2 linked regions of the Lonchura striata genome follow. The main gene of each other region encodes a partner of the protein of the gene in region 2 in a complex. Links are inferred from orthologs where the notes say so. Each region holds a gene or a part of one and is shown on either strand. Other genes may lie near its edges.

The links.
Region 1: the proteins of ATP8B1 (region 2) and TMEM30A are in contact, whole or in part, in a cryo-EM structure (PDB 7VGI), measured with the Homo sapiens proteins. The link is inferred for Lonchura striata from reciprocal best matches to the Homo sapiens genes ATP8B1 and TMEM30A. Residues at the interface, in NP_001361314.1 of Homo sapiens: Thr138, His359, Trp362, Glu363, Val366, Ser369, Ser370, Trp371, Tyr372, Leu373, Tyr374, Asp375, Gly376, Arg384, Ile388, Phe418, Asn420, Trp421, Asp422, Leu423, Tyr426, Lys430, Asp431, Thr432, Pro433, His939, Trp942, Arg946, Tyr968, Phe971; in NP_060717.1 of Homo sapiens: Lys24, Thr25, Arg26, Arg27, Pro28, Asn30, Phe33, Lys34, Gln35, Gln36, Arg37, Leu38, Pro39, Ala40, Trp41, Gln42, Pro43, Ile44, Leu45, Thr46, Ala47, Val50, Phe54, Ile57, Phe61, Ile64, Ile68, Ile75, Phe119, Tyr121.

What each region holds. Positions count from the first base shown.
Region 1 is NC_134605.1:83,206,031-83,213,781, reverse strand, and holds the start of TMEM30A (cell cycle control protein 50A), read right to left. Parts: upstream 3,004-7,751; 5' UTR 2,968-3,003; coding exon 2,701-2,967; intron 1-2,700. UniProt on the Homo sapiens protein: Accessory component of a P4-ATPase flippase complex which catalyzes the hydrolysis of ATP coupled to the transport of aminophospholipids from the outer to the inner leaflet of various membranes and ensures the maintenance of asymmetric distribution of phospholipids.
Region 2 is NC_134642.1:511,142-519,057, reverse strand, and holds the start of ATP8B1 (phospholipid-transporting ATPase IC), read right to left. Parts: upstream 3,015-7,916; 5' UTR 2,896-3,014; intron 2,666-2,895; 5' UTR 2,476-2,665; intron 769-2,475; 5' UTR 665-768; intron 376-664; exon of another isoform or gene 57-375; intron 1-56. UniProt on the Homo sapiens protein: Catalytic component of a P4-ATPase flippase complex which catalyzes the hydrolysis of ATP coupled to the transport of phospholipids, in particular phosphatidylcholines (PC), from the outer to the inner leaflet of the plasma membrane.

The sequences.
Region 1 (7,751 bases), on a different chromosome or scaffold from region 2:
TTCCACCCAAATGAACTATTTTAACAACAGACTCAAGATAAATGACTGATTATACCCTTTTGAAGCCAGAGAAAATTTAACAAAAACCCGACAGATCTAGTCACCTAAACTGTTGGAAATCTTCCACTTGAATTCAAGACATCTTGTAAAGGAAATCAATGGAAGAGGTACATTTTGCTGCTCAGTCCTTGCACCTGTAGAAGAACAGCACAGTCCATAGAGATACTAATGGCTACCACACCTTATTTCAGGAAAGAGTGACTTGAACATAAATAGGTATTCAGGGTCCCAAATTATACATCCTATTCAATTCCAATACACTAAGTTTACAGATTTGAGAGGTATGCTATTGCCTTGGAGGCAGGTGTAAATAACCACCTGTGCTTCCTCCCCCAATTACATTTCTAAAAAAGCTTAGTCATTGCATGTAGCTTCTGGATGTCTTCTCTCCCACAGCTAAACTTACAGCTGTTTGTGAATAACTTTTGGAGCTTATAACAAAAGGTTATAACAAAAGCCAGCATTCTAAGCAGGGATGTATGTCATCTAAGCATATATGTTATAGCAGTGTCTTAAACTGCATCCCTCAGCAGTGTTTAGAGCCCAGATGTTGGTCCTAATTGGTAAAATGCTTTATATGTGTTTTGTGGCTGCACCTCTTTTGATTTAAATTTGCTTTTTTTTTTTTTTTTAATTCAGCTGCCTTTAGGATGATAATCTCACTTGTAGAATGCCGCTGGATGAGCACTTCATAAAACATGTAAGAGGATCAGGCAACAGAATACAAGTTTCCCCCTTCTGACTTACCACAGACTCCAAAAGTCCCTTCTGTCCTCACAAAAGCCGAGAATTTTTTGATAATTTCAAACGGTGAAAGAGTAATTCCATATAGTAAAACAAATTAAATTCTTTTCAGTCTTGAGTATCTTGAGATTAGAGAGGACTGAAGATACTGATCTGAAGATTAGAGAGGACCTGCCAGCTGTCTCCACTACAAATGGTTAGTGCTGCTGTACATGCACAGCCTGACTGTGTAGTGGAGCATTGGTAATGCTCCCAGCTCACCTACGACTTTTATACCAAATGTTAGGTGGGAACAGCTGATTTTTGGGTTCTACTGGAACTTACCAGGAGTACCTGACTGAGCTGCTTAAGCAACAACAGTATATAAAAATCCTTTATAAGCACACAGCAGCAATATAGGCACAAAATCATGTATGTTTATGGACTCATGAAACTGATGCACTTCTTATTCACACAGATCAACGCAGATTAAGTTATAATGGAAAAAAGATACATTTGTCCAATTACAATTATCTAAAACTTCATACTGCTTTACTATAGAAATGACTATTTCAAATGCAGTTGTCAACAAAAATCAGAGTTAGCATGGATATTTTTATACTTCTCTCCCCAGAGTCTTGAAAACCCTTAAATATGCTATAACATGACAATTTAAAAACTTATGTGCCCATGACAAGTAGGCCATGTTTTCTGAAGCACCTGTGCCAATTTTCAGATGTTCAGCATAACCTGAACACTTGTTATAAGAAACAACTATTTTCTAAAAAATAGGCTTACATACAAATTAGGATGCTGTAAAATACACTTCAGCTTTTGGGGTTTTCCCTTCTGCTTTTCTCCCTAACTGTAGATCCTAACATAAAAGGGGGTAAAATTGGTTTCATTATAACCTTATTTGCACTTTAAGAGAAATATGGAAACACCATCCATTCCCTCCCTCATGATTTCTTTAGCTAACTGGGCTTCAGTGACAACTTGCCAGCCAAGCTACTGTCTTAAACACTGCTTATTTGAAAGTGGCAGCTTGGTCTAGTAACTAGAGTGATTTAATGCACAAAAATTCATACTCTCCAATTAAAAAACCACGAAGAACAACCACACACCTTCTTCCCTACAATCAATCTCAGTCATATTAGCTCACCAAAACTAATAATAGCTGTCAATTGCTTCTCAAGGCTGTCCACCCCTAAGCCTTGTGAGTTATTTCCTTTCAACACAAACCAGTTCTGTTATCAGCTGGATCTATCTGTGATATACAGTTCAGTTTTCAGCTAAGGCTCAGCAACTTTTCACAACAGTAGCATGGCTGGTTATCAAATGTAAATCAGATAAACTCAGACTCGAGTTTGTGTTATTTAGAAAAAGCCATACTCTTCAATCCTGGTCTCCCATACAGCACCAGCAACATTAAATCATCGGTGCAGGTAAGAATAACAGCAACAGATTCACCACAGAGCTTTGTCCTGAAAATACAATTACTTTGGAGCATTTGAAGACAAATAATAGACAACCACAGACTATCCCACGGATGATGCGCTTACTATCGGTATTGCTGAGGAAAAAAACGTGCACTGAGCTGTGTCGATGGAATGCAGGCAGTAACTTCTCTGGAAGTTCCCTCGGGAGCACTGACAGAACTCACGGAAGAGCTATGCGGAGATGGCTGTCAGCTCGGTGCCTGCCCAGGGTAATTAATGGGCGCGCTGCTGACGAGCACAGACCTTGGGCGGACCGGAGCCGCCCGAGGGCCGCGTCCGCTCCGCACAGAACCCGCCCGGGCCCCGCCGCAGGCCGGGAGGGGACGGAGGCGACCGCACCTCCCAGAGCCGCAGGCGGCCTCCCGGCAGGCGAGCCCCGCTATCCCAAAGCCCCGGCCCGGCACACCGCCCCGCGCACCTCGTACTCGCGGATGTTGTTCGAAGTGACGAAGATGCCGATGCCGATGGGGATGAAGATGAGGCCGATGATGAAGAAGGCCGGCAGCACCGTGCCCGCTGTCAGGATGGGCTGCCAAGCCGGCAGCCGCTGCTGCTTGAAAGCGGTATTGTCAGGCTTGCGGGTCTTCACGGCGCCGCCGCCGCCCACCGCGCCGCCGCCCGGCACGCCGACGCCGCCCGAGGGGTGCCCGTCCGCCTCCTCCTTGGCGCTGTAGTTCACCGCCATGGCGCCGCCGCCGCCGCCGCCGACACGTGACCGGGGGCACCGCGCCTGCGCACTCGGCCGCGGCAGCCGCGGGACGGGGCACGGCGGCGCGCGGGCGGTGACGCGCCACGGCCGCGCGCTTGCGCAGATGATGGCGGCTGGGGGTCATGGAGGCTCGGAGTGGTCGAGATGGGAAGAGACCCGCTAGATCATCCGGTCCGGTCATCCGCCCGGCACTGCCACTGTGACCCCTAAACCGCTAAGCCACGTCACCCAGTGCCAGATCCAGTCACCTCTTGAACACGTCCAGGGATGGTGACTACCACCTTCCTGGGCAACCTGTTCCAATGACCACCGTAATAGTGAATATTTTTTTTTAATATCTGATTTGCATCTCCCCTGTTTCAGCTAAGGACATTTCCTGTTGTCCTCACTGCAGGCACGGCAGACCAGACCAGTCCCACCTCAACCCAACCTTTCCTCAGGGAGTTGTAGAGAGAATAATGTCCTCCCTCAAACCCTCCTTTTCTTCAGGCTGAACACCCAGCCTCCTCAGCTGCTCCTCACAGGACGTGTTCTATGGGCTCCTCACAGAACGTGTTCTATGTGCTGGCCAGGCAGGCTCTGCTCCGTGAGGATGAGGATTCCAGACTTTGGGCAGGGGTCCTGGCACCTCGTGCCCAAGGTTGGGGTAAGACCTGGGACCGCAGCCTTGGCATCCCCCACTCAGTGCTCCAGGAGCACTGCCTTTCATCCTCCCTGTTGGCATGTGCTGACCCAAGGCAGTGTCCTTTGGGTCAAAAACTGAGAAGTCAGCTTCGGCTTCCTAGCCTCATAAATAGGATTAGTGCCACTGTAGAGATGTAATAATGCATGAGAATTTTGAGAGCTGCTGTCAATGGAGCTGTGTGTGCCGACCACCACTTTTGGGAGTGGTTCTGCTCTGTCCTCCTGCTCTGCTGTCGGTGTGAGTGAATCAGTGCAGTGAATACAGAACCACAGAGCAGGTAGGGCTGGAAGGGACCACAGAGAGTCATCCGGTCCAACTCCCCTGCTCAGAGTCATCCCAGAGCACATGGCACAGGACTGCATCCAGATGTTTTTTGAATATCTCCAGTCAGGGAGACTGCAGCCTCTCTGAGAAATCTCTTCTAGTGCTCAGTCACCCACACACTGAGGAAGTTCTTCCTCGTATTCTGGTGGAACTTTCTATGCATCAGTTTCTGCCTGGTGCCTCTTGTTCTGTTCATTCGCACCACTGAGAAGAGTCTGGCTCACTCTGACTCGACACCCACCCTTTAGATACTTATACATATGGATGTTGTTGTTTCCCCTTGTGAGCTAATCTGACTGTGCTAAACAGAATCACAGAATCAATCAGGCTGGGAAAGACGTCTGAGGTCATTGAGCCCACCCTTTGACTGAACACCACTGTGCCAACTACACCATGACACTTGCTACCATTTACAGTCTGTCCTTTAACACCTCCAGGAACAGGGATTCCACCACCCCTCCAGGGCCGTCTGTTTCAGTGGTTAAAACCCTTTCATGGAGAAGCAGTCACCTTGTGGAACGCAATGTGTGAGTATGTACTTGCATCCCAGAAGACCTGCTTTAGCAGGCATTGCTCAAGCTAATGCAACCTTGGAATTTCATGTTTCTCACTTCACTGGCACTTCTGCATTAAAGTCTGTTTTGTGAGGACTTCCTATGCAGTCACTCTAGAGTGCTGCCAAATCCACATTCAGCAAATATTTATGTATTTACTTGATTTCAAGGAAAAAAGTAAGTAGAACTATTTAATTAAATAAGTTTATAATGTAGTCCAATCTGAAGACTTTTTAGCTGGCTATGGAACAGTTGATGTAAAATAAATGCCTTTTAGTTCTCTGGAGCAGCGAGAGCATCAGCCAAGACCACTGGGGGGAGCACCTGACTTGTGCAAATGTATTTCACTATAGAGGCACAAAAGGCCTCCTTGCCATAGTGTAGGGAATTTGGGTATATAGATAAATATCGAAAAGATAAGTATTAATTTGGTGCCTAAATAATTATATAGACTACAAAAGTTAATTATATTCCTTGTGGAATCTATGCTAAAACTGTATTTCATTCCAAATTAATCTTTTCCACTGTCTTGTGGACCCAAACTTTTGCTGCCATTCCCCCTGGATAAGCCCATTGTCTCTAGTACCATGCTTTCCTTATTATCTTCTGTTTGCAATTATTACCTTCAGCTATAGTAATTTTTATTCCCACAGTGTCACAGAGGATCCAGAGAGATGCAACCTGGGATCTCAAGGGAACAAGAAAGCTTGTAAACCTGTGGTGAGAGATGGCAAGAAATTTCCCTAGCAGAAGGAAAATCAAGGGGCGATGTTGGGAAGCTGGGACCTGATGCTCTCAGGTGCAAGAGGACTGGCAAGAAAGGGTGTGTTAAATTTGTCTAATTATGTTTCACAACAAGACAAGAAGAAAACTCACAGGCTGTAGCATTTATCTCTAGAAATCTAAGTATTTGAGATTTTTTTTTCATGGATTGAAACTCTGTATTTTATCACTATAATTAAACTACACAGGTCTTTCAGTCCTCTTTATATGGTAAGAGATCTCTAAGGGAAAAGTAGATCTTTCACTGGTTTTCTATTGCTTAAAAGCTTCTGATATCTATAGCATATATATATATATATATATATATATATAGCATCTATATTTCACATTGTCTTAGTGTGTAAGCTCTTCCCAATTACCTCCATTAAAATTACAGTAGTTGTAGAAATTAATCACATCTTTAGTCTATATTAATAGATTTCTTCCTGAGTCTCCCCAGAATACAGACTAATTATGTGGCTAATGCTCTTTTTTTACATATTTATCTTAGATTCATATCCAAGTTAGGTAATGTAAAAAATTGACCAGGAACATAAATGCAAGATGAAATCACCAGTCTCCTACTCCAAAGTGTTGTAGTTCATCAAAAATATTTTAAAATCCAAATTATTTCGATACACCATGATTGTATGTATGCTTTAAACAAAGCTTTATTTTGGGAATCTTAAAAGCTTAATATAAGTGAAAAACCATAAATGTTTATGTATTTGTTTATGAATAATAAACTTACACTCATCATTAATTGGCTTTATATTAAAATTTAGACAAGGAAAAATATTTTCTACTTTGACTGGCACCTTTTAAATCTAGACTCAATTTTGGAATACCATTTTACTTGTGTCCTACTCATATTTAAAAGCTGAAGTTTATTTCAGGCATGTCACCGTTACTTTCAAATAACCAGGAATTTCAGTGTGGCTGAGCTTAGTGTAGATCTTAACATGGATAGGTTTCAATTCCCAAGTAATGTTTTGAAAATAGAAGATCTGGGTCACTACAATGTTCATTCTGCTGTGCAGTAAACTGAAATGTGGCACACACTAAACTTTATTCACCTCATCTGTATTGTTCTCCAAAAGCTTGAATTTTTCTCAGCGTGCAGTAAAATATGATCTACAAACACAGCTATGTTATTGGCATATATTGTCTGTTGTACAAAAAAAAACCAAACCACTCCTTAAAAAACATGGTGACATGGTGTACCAGCTAAGTATAAGCTATACCAACAAAATTTCTCTTCCACCAGGATAAGCAGCACTTAATTTTGATTCGTCTCTATAGCTGTATTAGTAAACTCTTCACAATGGAGATCTACTCCACAAAAGTTCATACAGGTCCCAGAATATCCTGCTTCTCTAGAGTGTCAGCATTTGCTGCAGAGCTCACATGTAAAAGGAGAAACAGCTCCCGTGGCTCCCATGAAGACCAAATTGACTATGCAGCCATGTGATATTCCGACTTCAAAGATGCACCAACCTAACCATCCCAGTGGGATGCTGCATTAATGCAGTCTTTATGGCATCTCACAGCACATCTCCTGCAAACAACACTTTTCCTTTCCAAAAAAATAATTTATCCCAGTAGCTTCTGCAGTTAAAAATCTGCAGTATTTTAAGTATGTGCCAATGACTTAGAATAAAAATCATTGGTTATGAAAGGTAAAAGAAAAAAAGACCCTGCCTGGATTGCATGTAGCTTTATTTATCATGCATTCAAAAATCACCCTAAGTATAGCTGCCACAGAACTCTCAGGATGCTATTTGAGAAGCTACAGCCACCAGTGTAAAAGGGGCCCCTGAGCGCACGGCAGAGTGCCTGGTGTCTAGTCCAGGACCAAAGATTCTGACAGTACCAGTCAAACATCTCTGCCTGTGCTGTGAAAGCACAAGCTTAGAAACAATTAAGTCATGAAGGGCTTGGTGATTGATCCATCTCTGTATCTTAACTTCTGAGCCTACAAGAAAGATGGGGAGAGTGGCATGGGCATGTTGTGACAGGACAAGGAGGAATGGCTTCAAACTGAAAGGCAGTAGGTTTACATTAGATACTGGGAAGAAATTCTTCACTTTGAGGGTTGTGAGACACTGGAACAAAATACCCAGAGAAGCTGTTGAGCAGCTTTGCTGGAAGTGTTCAAGGCCAGGTTGGATGGAGCTTTGAGCAACTTGATCTAGTGGAAGGCATTCCTGCCCATGGCAGGGGGACTGGAACTACATGATCTTTAAGGGCCTTCCAACCCAAACCATTCTGTGATTCTATGAATCAGTTTCACCCTGTACTTCACTGTGACACTGTATTGAGACACCAGTCAGAAAAAGGAACTTCCTAATCCATATACTGTCCCCATAAACAAATATATAGGTGAGTGCTGCCAGCCTTAAGAAACTGGAGCTGAAATGCAAAAACCTACATTT
Region 2 (7,916 bases):
GAAAATAAGTATGAAGGACTTTCCAATGTACCTAATTTTTCCTGATGAGCCTACAGGATTTGACACAAGGAAGAGATTAACTGGACACCGAGAACTGAACAGAAAATCAAGAAATCCAAGAAAAAGACCCACAGTGTACAGGCCAGCTGCCTGAGGTTATGCAAAAATGCTTGAAGATGGGCCATTGCAGAAACAAAAATCATCATTTTCCCCATTATCTGCTCTAGGATTTCTCATTAACAGATCTGCAGAGTTCTGTCATTTAAAGTCCAAGGCAAGGCAAGCTATCTTTGCAGAAGATAAGAGGGCGGGTAACCTTTGCTCAAGCTGCAGGTTCCAGCACACTCTGAAGGGGTTTCAGCTTGCCTTTTAGAGGGTGTTACCTTGCTCTCGAGGTTCATGTTATACAACAGCTCATATTGAGGTTAATAGAGGAAAAAAGAATTCTTGTTGTGCATGCTTAAACTGCATTATTTGGAGTAGAAGATTTTTGGAACTACACAGAGAGTTTTTTTCCTAGCAGTCACCGTCACCATCAAAACCAGCAAGTAATTTTAACTGGCTAAATAAAGGTTACTTCCTGCTACCAAGACTGGAGATTCCATTAATACACCTCTTCTGGTAGCATCTACAATAGACACTGAAGCCATTTTCCTAAACTGACCTTTATCCAATGGAGTGTGTGACTGAAGCTCAGACTGCATCACAAATGCTGCCACTGGCCACTCACAGAGAATCCGCTGCCTTCAGCTTCAAATCAGGCTCCATCTGCAATGAAACCATGTAGAAAATGGTTTATTGGCTGATTCCACCTTGTGTGCACACAATAACAAAAAACTATTCTTTAGAAAAATTGTGAAATTAATTTGCCTTGCAAAATTTCTTATGCTTTGTGTGGAGCCATTTGTCCTATTACCCTAAGGTGTCTGGGCTCTGTGACAAACTCATGGCTTGAGGCTGGTAGAGACCTTTCAAAGATATTAACAGCTACACCCTGTAGCTGTACAAAGTACAGTCATTCGTGCATCTTTCCTATCACCATCAATTGTCAAATGAAAATCATATTGCAAGTGTATATCAGAACACATGGGGAAAACCCAGCACACGTTCCAGAGGGATTCTGTAAGCTTGCCAAAAAGCAGTGCTACCACAGAGCCCGGCACCTGCCAAGGAAGGCTCAGAGAATCTCAAAGAATCGGTCTGGAACGAGAATCGTGCCCTTCACCCCGACAAGCAGAGAGACAGAGAGGTTAAGTGATTTGCCCAAGGCCATTGGGTAAGTCACTGACAGAGCCAGGGTTGGGTTGCAGAAGCTCCTGGCACACGTCCTGCATTCAATTACAGCTGCACAAAGCATCTCCTTTAAAAGAGAACTGGAAAAGCCCTCGGCAGGAAGAACAGCAGAACCCCTCGCATCTGAAACATCTGAAACAACAACCAACCGCCTTTCCACATTGAAGAGCAGGCAGCACTTCGTGCTCTCGGCCCTCTAACAACAGCCACACCAACAAGAGAGCGGAGAAATAAATCCCAGCTCATTTTAAAATGGCTCCACTGCAAGTGCTTTTGGAATTCACTATGCCAAACTCAAAAGCAAAGGTCCAGAACATTTACACGCTGTCTTATATGGCAGAATTAAGTGAGAACAGTTTAGAAGTTACTGAAAATAATCTCTACGATAGCTACAAATTAACACAGAGACAAACAGAGCCTTGGGACAGGTACAAAAGCAACCAGACTAAGGTGACCACCAGTGCAAAAGCTGACAAGGAAAACATCAAAAACAGCCAGACACTACTCGTCTTCTAAACCAGGCTTTGAGGACAACGACAAATGAAACCCCACGACCAAACAGAAACCTGAGCAAGCCTCATCCAGCACAGCCACTAACAGGATGTTAATCCAGGGACTCTCACCAGCAGCAGCAGCCACGCAGGTGGGGACTGCTCAAGGGCCAGGCTGCCACCCCAAGTCCTACGGTCCCGGCTCTCCACAGCCAAACACCCCGGCTGTTACTCATTGCCAGCACTGGTCCCTGCCAGAGCTGTTTGGCCTCTTCGGTTTCAAACCGCTCCTGCTGACACCCGAGCCAGCAGTGCAATGCTCCATTAGCTGCTCCATTCAGCACAGCTGCATCCGACCTCCAAGGACGGGATGCTATTTAAGCTATAAGCACGAGCTAGCAGCACCGAGACACCAATTTTGTTTTGTTTTCCAAGCAAGTCACTGACCGCACAAGTAACTTGCCCAGTATATTCTACTGCAGAGTTACTGTTCCTTAATGCAGAAAGCTATTGCTGCTCTGATGACTGCATAAACACCGACCAATGAGTAATCACTCGCAGCCCTGAAGGCTGTTCTCATCGTGCATAGGCATGGGCGGCGGGGGAAAGCCGGGAGTTGGGCAAGCAGCCCGGGGCCACGAGTCAGTGCCCGGGGGGCTCGGGGGGACAGGAGATAGCCGAGCTGCCTTACCTCGCCTTCCAGCAACCTCCTGCTCTTTCTTTAAACTTCAGAGCGGAGAGACTCTGCGCTAAGTTCGACCATCAGCGGCCGCATATCCCGCGGGTGGGAGCGAGGGGGACGCCGATTCCCGCGGGGTCCCGCCGGGCTCTAAACCCTCCGAAACAACGCGTCGGGGCTCCCGCTCCGAGCCGGCGATATGCTGGGAAGGGAAGAGAAAAGAAGGGAAGGCGTTCCGGGTGCGCCCGAGGTCAGCTCCGGCCGCACCTGTGCGGCGGGGCGGGCCGGGACAGAGCCGGCCCTGAGCCCCGGCCCGCACCGAGCGCGGCACCGGCGGAGGTGGCGCCGGCCGGCCCCGGTGGCGATGGACACATCGTGCCACCGCCCCGCGGCTACGGGCAGCCCCTGCCCCGCAGGAGCCCCCGGCCTCACCTGTGCCCGCGGGTTCCCGCTGGCTCGCTCAGCGCCTCCGGAGCCCCGCGCCCGCCCCGGCTGCCTGCGAGCCGCCGCCAGACCGGCCGGACGGGTTCCCCCGGTTCTCCGGAGCAGGCGAGGGGCCGCAAGGCAGCAAGGGAGTAGGGCAGCAGGGGAGGGGCCGCCACGGCCGGCCCCCCGCCCGGCCCGGCCCCCCGCCCGGCCCCCGGCCCGGCCCGGCCCGGCCCGGCCGCCGCTCCCGCCGCTCTTGGCACCCGCGGGAGATGCTGCCGTGGGGGCCGGAGGCCGTTCTGGCACCCGCGGGACGTGCCGAGCTGCGGATCCTGGAGGAACCCTGCTCTGGTGAAGCTCTGGTGATAGCTGGGACCTCCCGCCTGGCGTTGTTCTAAATTACAGGATTGCTTTATCGCTTATTTTGAGAGCTTTGGAAGGGTATAGCATTTTAAACTTTTGGCCTTTTAAAAGCTCCAAACTGACTCCTGGTTTCCAAATCCTTTTGAGGAAAGACTGGAGACTTGGAGGATGCACGAGAGTGATATTCTTAACCGATGGTTTTGCTTATTAATAAGCAGATTAATTAACAGATAAAGTTATTTATCTTTATATATATTTCTATATATATATTTAGGGATGACAGTAGTGCTGTTCTGCCATATGCACATTTGTTGACAAGTGATGCAATTTAGGGCAAGTGGAATGCAGATACAGTTGCTGATTTGATTAAGTATAAAAATCTGGAAAATTCTGTCTCTTAAAGTGATGATGGGCTGCTGCACTGTACTAAAAGCGACCTTTGTTTTGGACTGGCAGGTATTGTAGAGATTACTTGGTTGCTTTTTCAACAGCAACAATATTCAATTTTCCTGTGCCAGAAAACTCTTGTTCCAACACACTTGGTTTTCCTGGACCAAAGATGTGATGCTGAGTTCCAGAGCTATGTCTTTCAGCACCTTTCTGTTTTTCTGCCTGCCTCAAATTCCTCACACCAGAATAAAACCAAAGTTAATTAAAATCAGGAACATTTTGGCTGAACAAAGTAGCAGAGGTTCCTTGTGCTTTTGACAATTCCTGCTCTGGGCAGGACATTCATTCCTGTCCTGGGCTGAACATTTGGCTTTGAGTTCAGTATTCACAAGGTTGCTGCATGCAAAGCCTGGTGTGTGGGACACACTGTCAGGAAGGAGATTACTAGAGATAAAAGGGCCCCTTAACAGTGACTAATGGCCCAGCCCAAATATTAGTTTTACACTTACGTCCTACAGATCCGTGTCTGAGGGAAACAGCAGCTGTTCCCTGCACTGGGGCCATGAGGAGGAGCATCCGCCGCTGCCCCTCTCAGATCCTGCTCTTGGTCACTTCCAGCAGGTATTTCCAGTTCTGCTTCAGGACTTTTCTCCTTCATCCTCTCCTTTATTCCTCAGTCTCATCTTTCACTCGTGCTCCTTCTCTCCAAAACAGCAACATGCCCTAGTAAAAAATACACTCCTTTCTGTCCCACTGCTCCTCCTCTCCTTCCCAGCCTCTATTCCTGTTTGTCTTATTTTGTCAGGGTTTGGGACACCACTGTTGTACATATCAGTAATTCTGTATTTAAGCAGCTCTGAACACACCTATTTATTCACATTCTTATTTGATTCATTCTCTTAATATGAAGAAACTGGGAAATAATGCAGATAGTCTTCCTAAGCAATCCTCTCCCTGTTCATCTTTCCATGGTTTTCTCTATCAATTAATCCAAACGGGGGGGAAAGAGTTTAATTCTCTATACCTTTCAGCTAATCTGGAATCAAAAGTAATTTAGATGGTAATTTTGAAAATTATTAATTTGAGGAAAGGGCAGATGCTGCAACTTGTACGGTTTGTAGGCAGGAAGTAAATGGTGGCAATTCTTCATGCTGAAAGAATTGTGCCTTTCTATGTCAAAACGTGGAGCGTTTCTTCTTTTTCCTTATTTCCTCCCCCATTTAAGTGAAAAACTTTCAGACAAAATTGATAGAGATCTCCCTAGGCTAAAGGCCTGTTTCAGTGTCAAGAAGGCTGAGCCCAGATCTTTTGGGAGTTTCAGTTTCCTAACATCGATATCTAGGAGAGAAGGAACCAACAAATCAATAGCAGCCACAGGTCCAGAGATAGCCCTTGGCAGAGGGATACCTGTGCCTTCGTGCCTCCTCATGCAGCAATGTGATTTCAGATGGAACACTGTTCACTGAATCAATTAAAGGGGTGGGTGCATGTTGTGCCAGAACCTTTGAAATTCTCCTAAGAACAGGAACATTACCAGGAGACTCGTGTGTTTGCGTACAGGTTTCTCCAGGGAGCATTTCTCTGCCCAGGTACTTTCCTGCCGCAAGTTTGGCACTTGCTGGAGAGAGCTCAGCTTTAAATCAGGCTCCATTCCAACTGAATTGTTAATCACCACAGTTGGAGTTAGTGCAGCCCAGCAGAGAATTCCACAAAGATAGAGCAGTGCCTCATTATTCCCTGGTTAAGGGATCCTCTCGTGCTTAGAGACGTACAGAAATCCTAAGGCAAATTTCATGGCGAGGACGTGGAGGTGTGAAATTTTTCCTACTCCAGCTATTCAAAAAATATTTCCTGCGCATTGCTCTTTCAGGCTGCGCTCCATCAAATTCATGGATTTTATACAAGTCCATGTTTCTGTAAAACCTCTCCTCCAAGCATGGCAGGGATGTTTCCCATGTGGAGAACAGCTCTTTTCCCCAAGTTGTGAATTCAGGGGCTGACTGACACAGAATGGGGCCCTTGACTCCATCTGGATCCAAGTCTCTTTTTCCTGAGCAGCTCCGGCGTTACTACTTGCTTCTGCCAACAGATGGGGAGCCACACCGCTGAATTCCGGCTTGAGCTCCGGGAACGGCACGGACTGAGCTGCTGCCTCCCGGCTTTGCTGCTCTTCCTGAAGGAGCACCTTTGGCTTTATGCTTTAAAAGCGGTAGAGCCACACGCTGTCACTCAGGATTAGTTTAGGAAGCAGGAGGGAATGGAGCTCCTGGGATCTGGGAAACGACAAATGCTGCAGCGTACAGTGATGCATTGTTTTCATTTTGTTTAGTTTAGTTTTGCTTTTTAGGTGTTTCGTTTGTTTGGTTTTTTTTTTTTTTTTCCAGTAGAAAGTTTATTTTTTTTGTTATTTTTCTTTTTTTTCTTCCTATGAGTCTGTTTTGCCACAAATCAAAATTTTGGCTTTTCTGGCTGTCACTCTTCCTTGCTGCATCTTGTCTTCTGTGATTTGTGATGTCTTTCCTTAAGGGAGCATTCTTTTTGCTTAGCTTTCACCCAGTGTATCCCATTGTTCAGCTCTGGGCAATTGTTTTGGGATATTATTGATTTTATGACTTGCATTGTTGTCTGCACAAAACCAGACCCATTTGGGGCAATTTGCTGCACTCATACTTTCTGAGGGAAGGGAATGTGTGTTGGCTTGACTAGAGCAGCAACAAAACCCTGCTATTATTTTATGTGGTTTAAAGAGGGAATCCATCTCATGTTTCCCTGGAGGCACTTCTGTGATCAGGAATTACTACAACATTACTCAGAGCCCTTTGTGCAGGTGTTTACTTTGGGATGTTATCCCAGATAGTGACATCGCTGTTCTCCTGACTGGCTGGCATGCAAAAAAAGATGGGAGAAACCAGTCTGCCAGGCAATTCTAGCTGTAATTCCATGAAAATTCACAGTAGTAGGGGTATCCTCCAGGAGAGAGCACGGTACATAGCAATAATATTACTTACAAGTTCAAAGCATTGTACAAAGATTAAATCATCTCTGAAGCAACTCCAAGTGATATGTCCTAGTGAAGTGATTCCACTGAAATTCTGCTCACACAGCAGCAGGCAAGAAATGCAATTAAGGAGAAGAAAGTAAGAACACCAAGACAAATTGTGGCTGCAGGGTATGCATCCAGATGCTCCTAATGGATTATTCTGCCCTACAATTGCTCTCTCACCACATGGGCTTCGCGTCTGGGCAGGGAAGCAGCGGATAAAAGGAATGTTAGGTTATGTGGATTGTTATTTTTACTCGATTGCAGGAGCAGTTTGCAGGAGGACACCCAGCTCTGTGCACAGGTTTCCTGCAATGGTTCCCTGCACACAGGAACAGGTGAGGAGCCACTCGAGAGCAGGCAGGTCCTGCCATGGGACCTCGCAGTTCCCCTGGGACTGGCAAGGCAGCTGTCCCCAGGATCCACAGGGTTTCTCTGCCATGTAGCAGCATCCCTCTGCTTTACCAGAGGCATGTGAAAGTGAGTCACTTTGTTTGTTTTTGAGGGAAGTTGCTGCTTTTAGCCACCTCACAATGTCATTCGATGCTATGTGTTCATGACTGGGCCTGCACCAATAGCCATGGATGTATATATAGATATACATGTATGTATGTATGTGTGTGTGTGTATATATATATATATATATATATATATATATATATATATTTTAGAGGCATTCTAATAAAGTGGCCACATACATACATATAACTTATCACAGCATCCTTTTATCTTTTTTTTCTTTTCCTTGGCTTAGAGCTCCCATGGTTCTTTTGCAGGCTCCATATACACAGGAAAAAGAAATTCCTTCGGTCTTTACACCAAGGAGGGTGCCTTATGGAAGTTGAAATTCTGTTCCCTATAGATGTGGCTTAAAGCCTGAAATAAGGGGGAAATATTCCAGAAAAGGAATCACTGAGCAGAGCTCATGTGGAATTATGGCAAAGATTGATTTGAAACCGAACGAGGGCAAGGAGTGGCTGCCCTCTCCTCTGACTTTGGGAGTTGGACTTTGCTGGTCCCTGTGGATCCCTTCCAACTCAGGATATGAGGATTTATGATTCTATTCAAGACTTAAAAATTAATATGCAGAGAAGCATGTGCTAACTAGAAATTCACTCACTCACTCATCCTACTTTAAGCCCCCACTACTGCTTAAAATGGCTGATTAATGATGTTAGATAGTGATAGCATTCATTTGATTGAACTCCCAAAGTAAGCAGAGTGGGAATGCCTA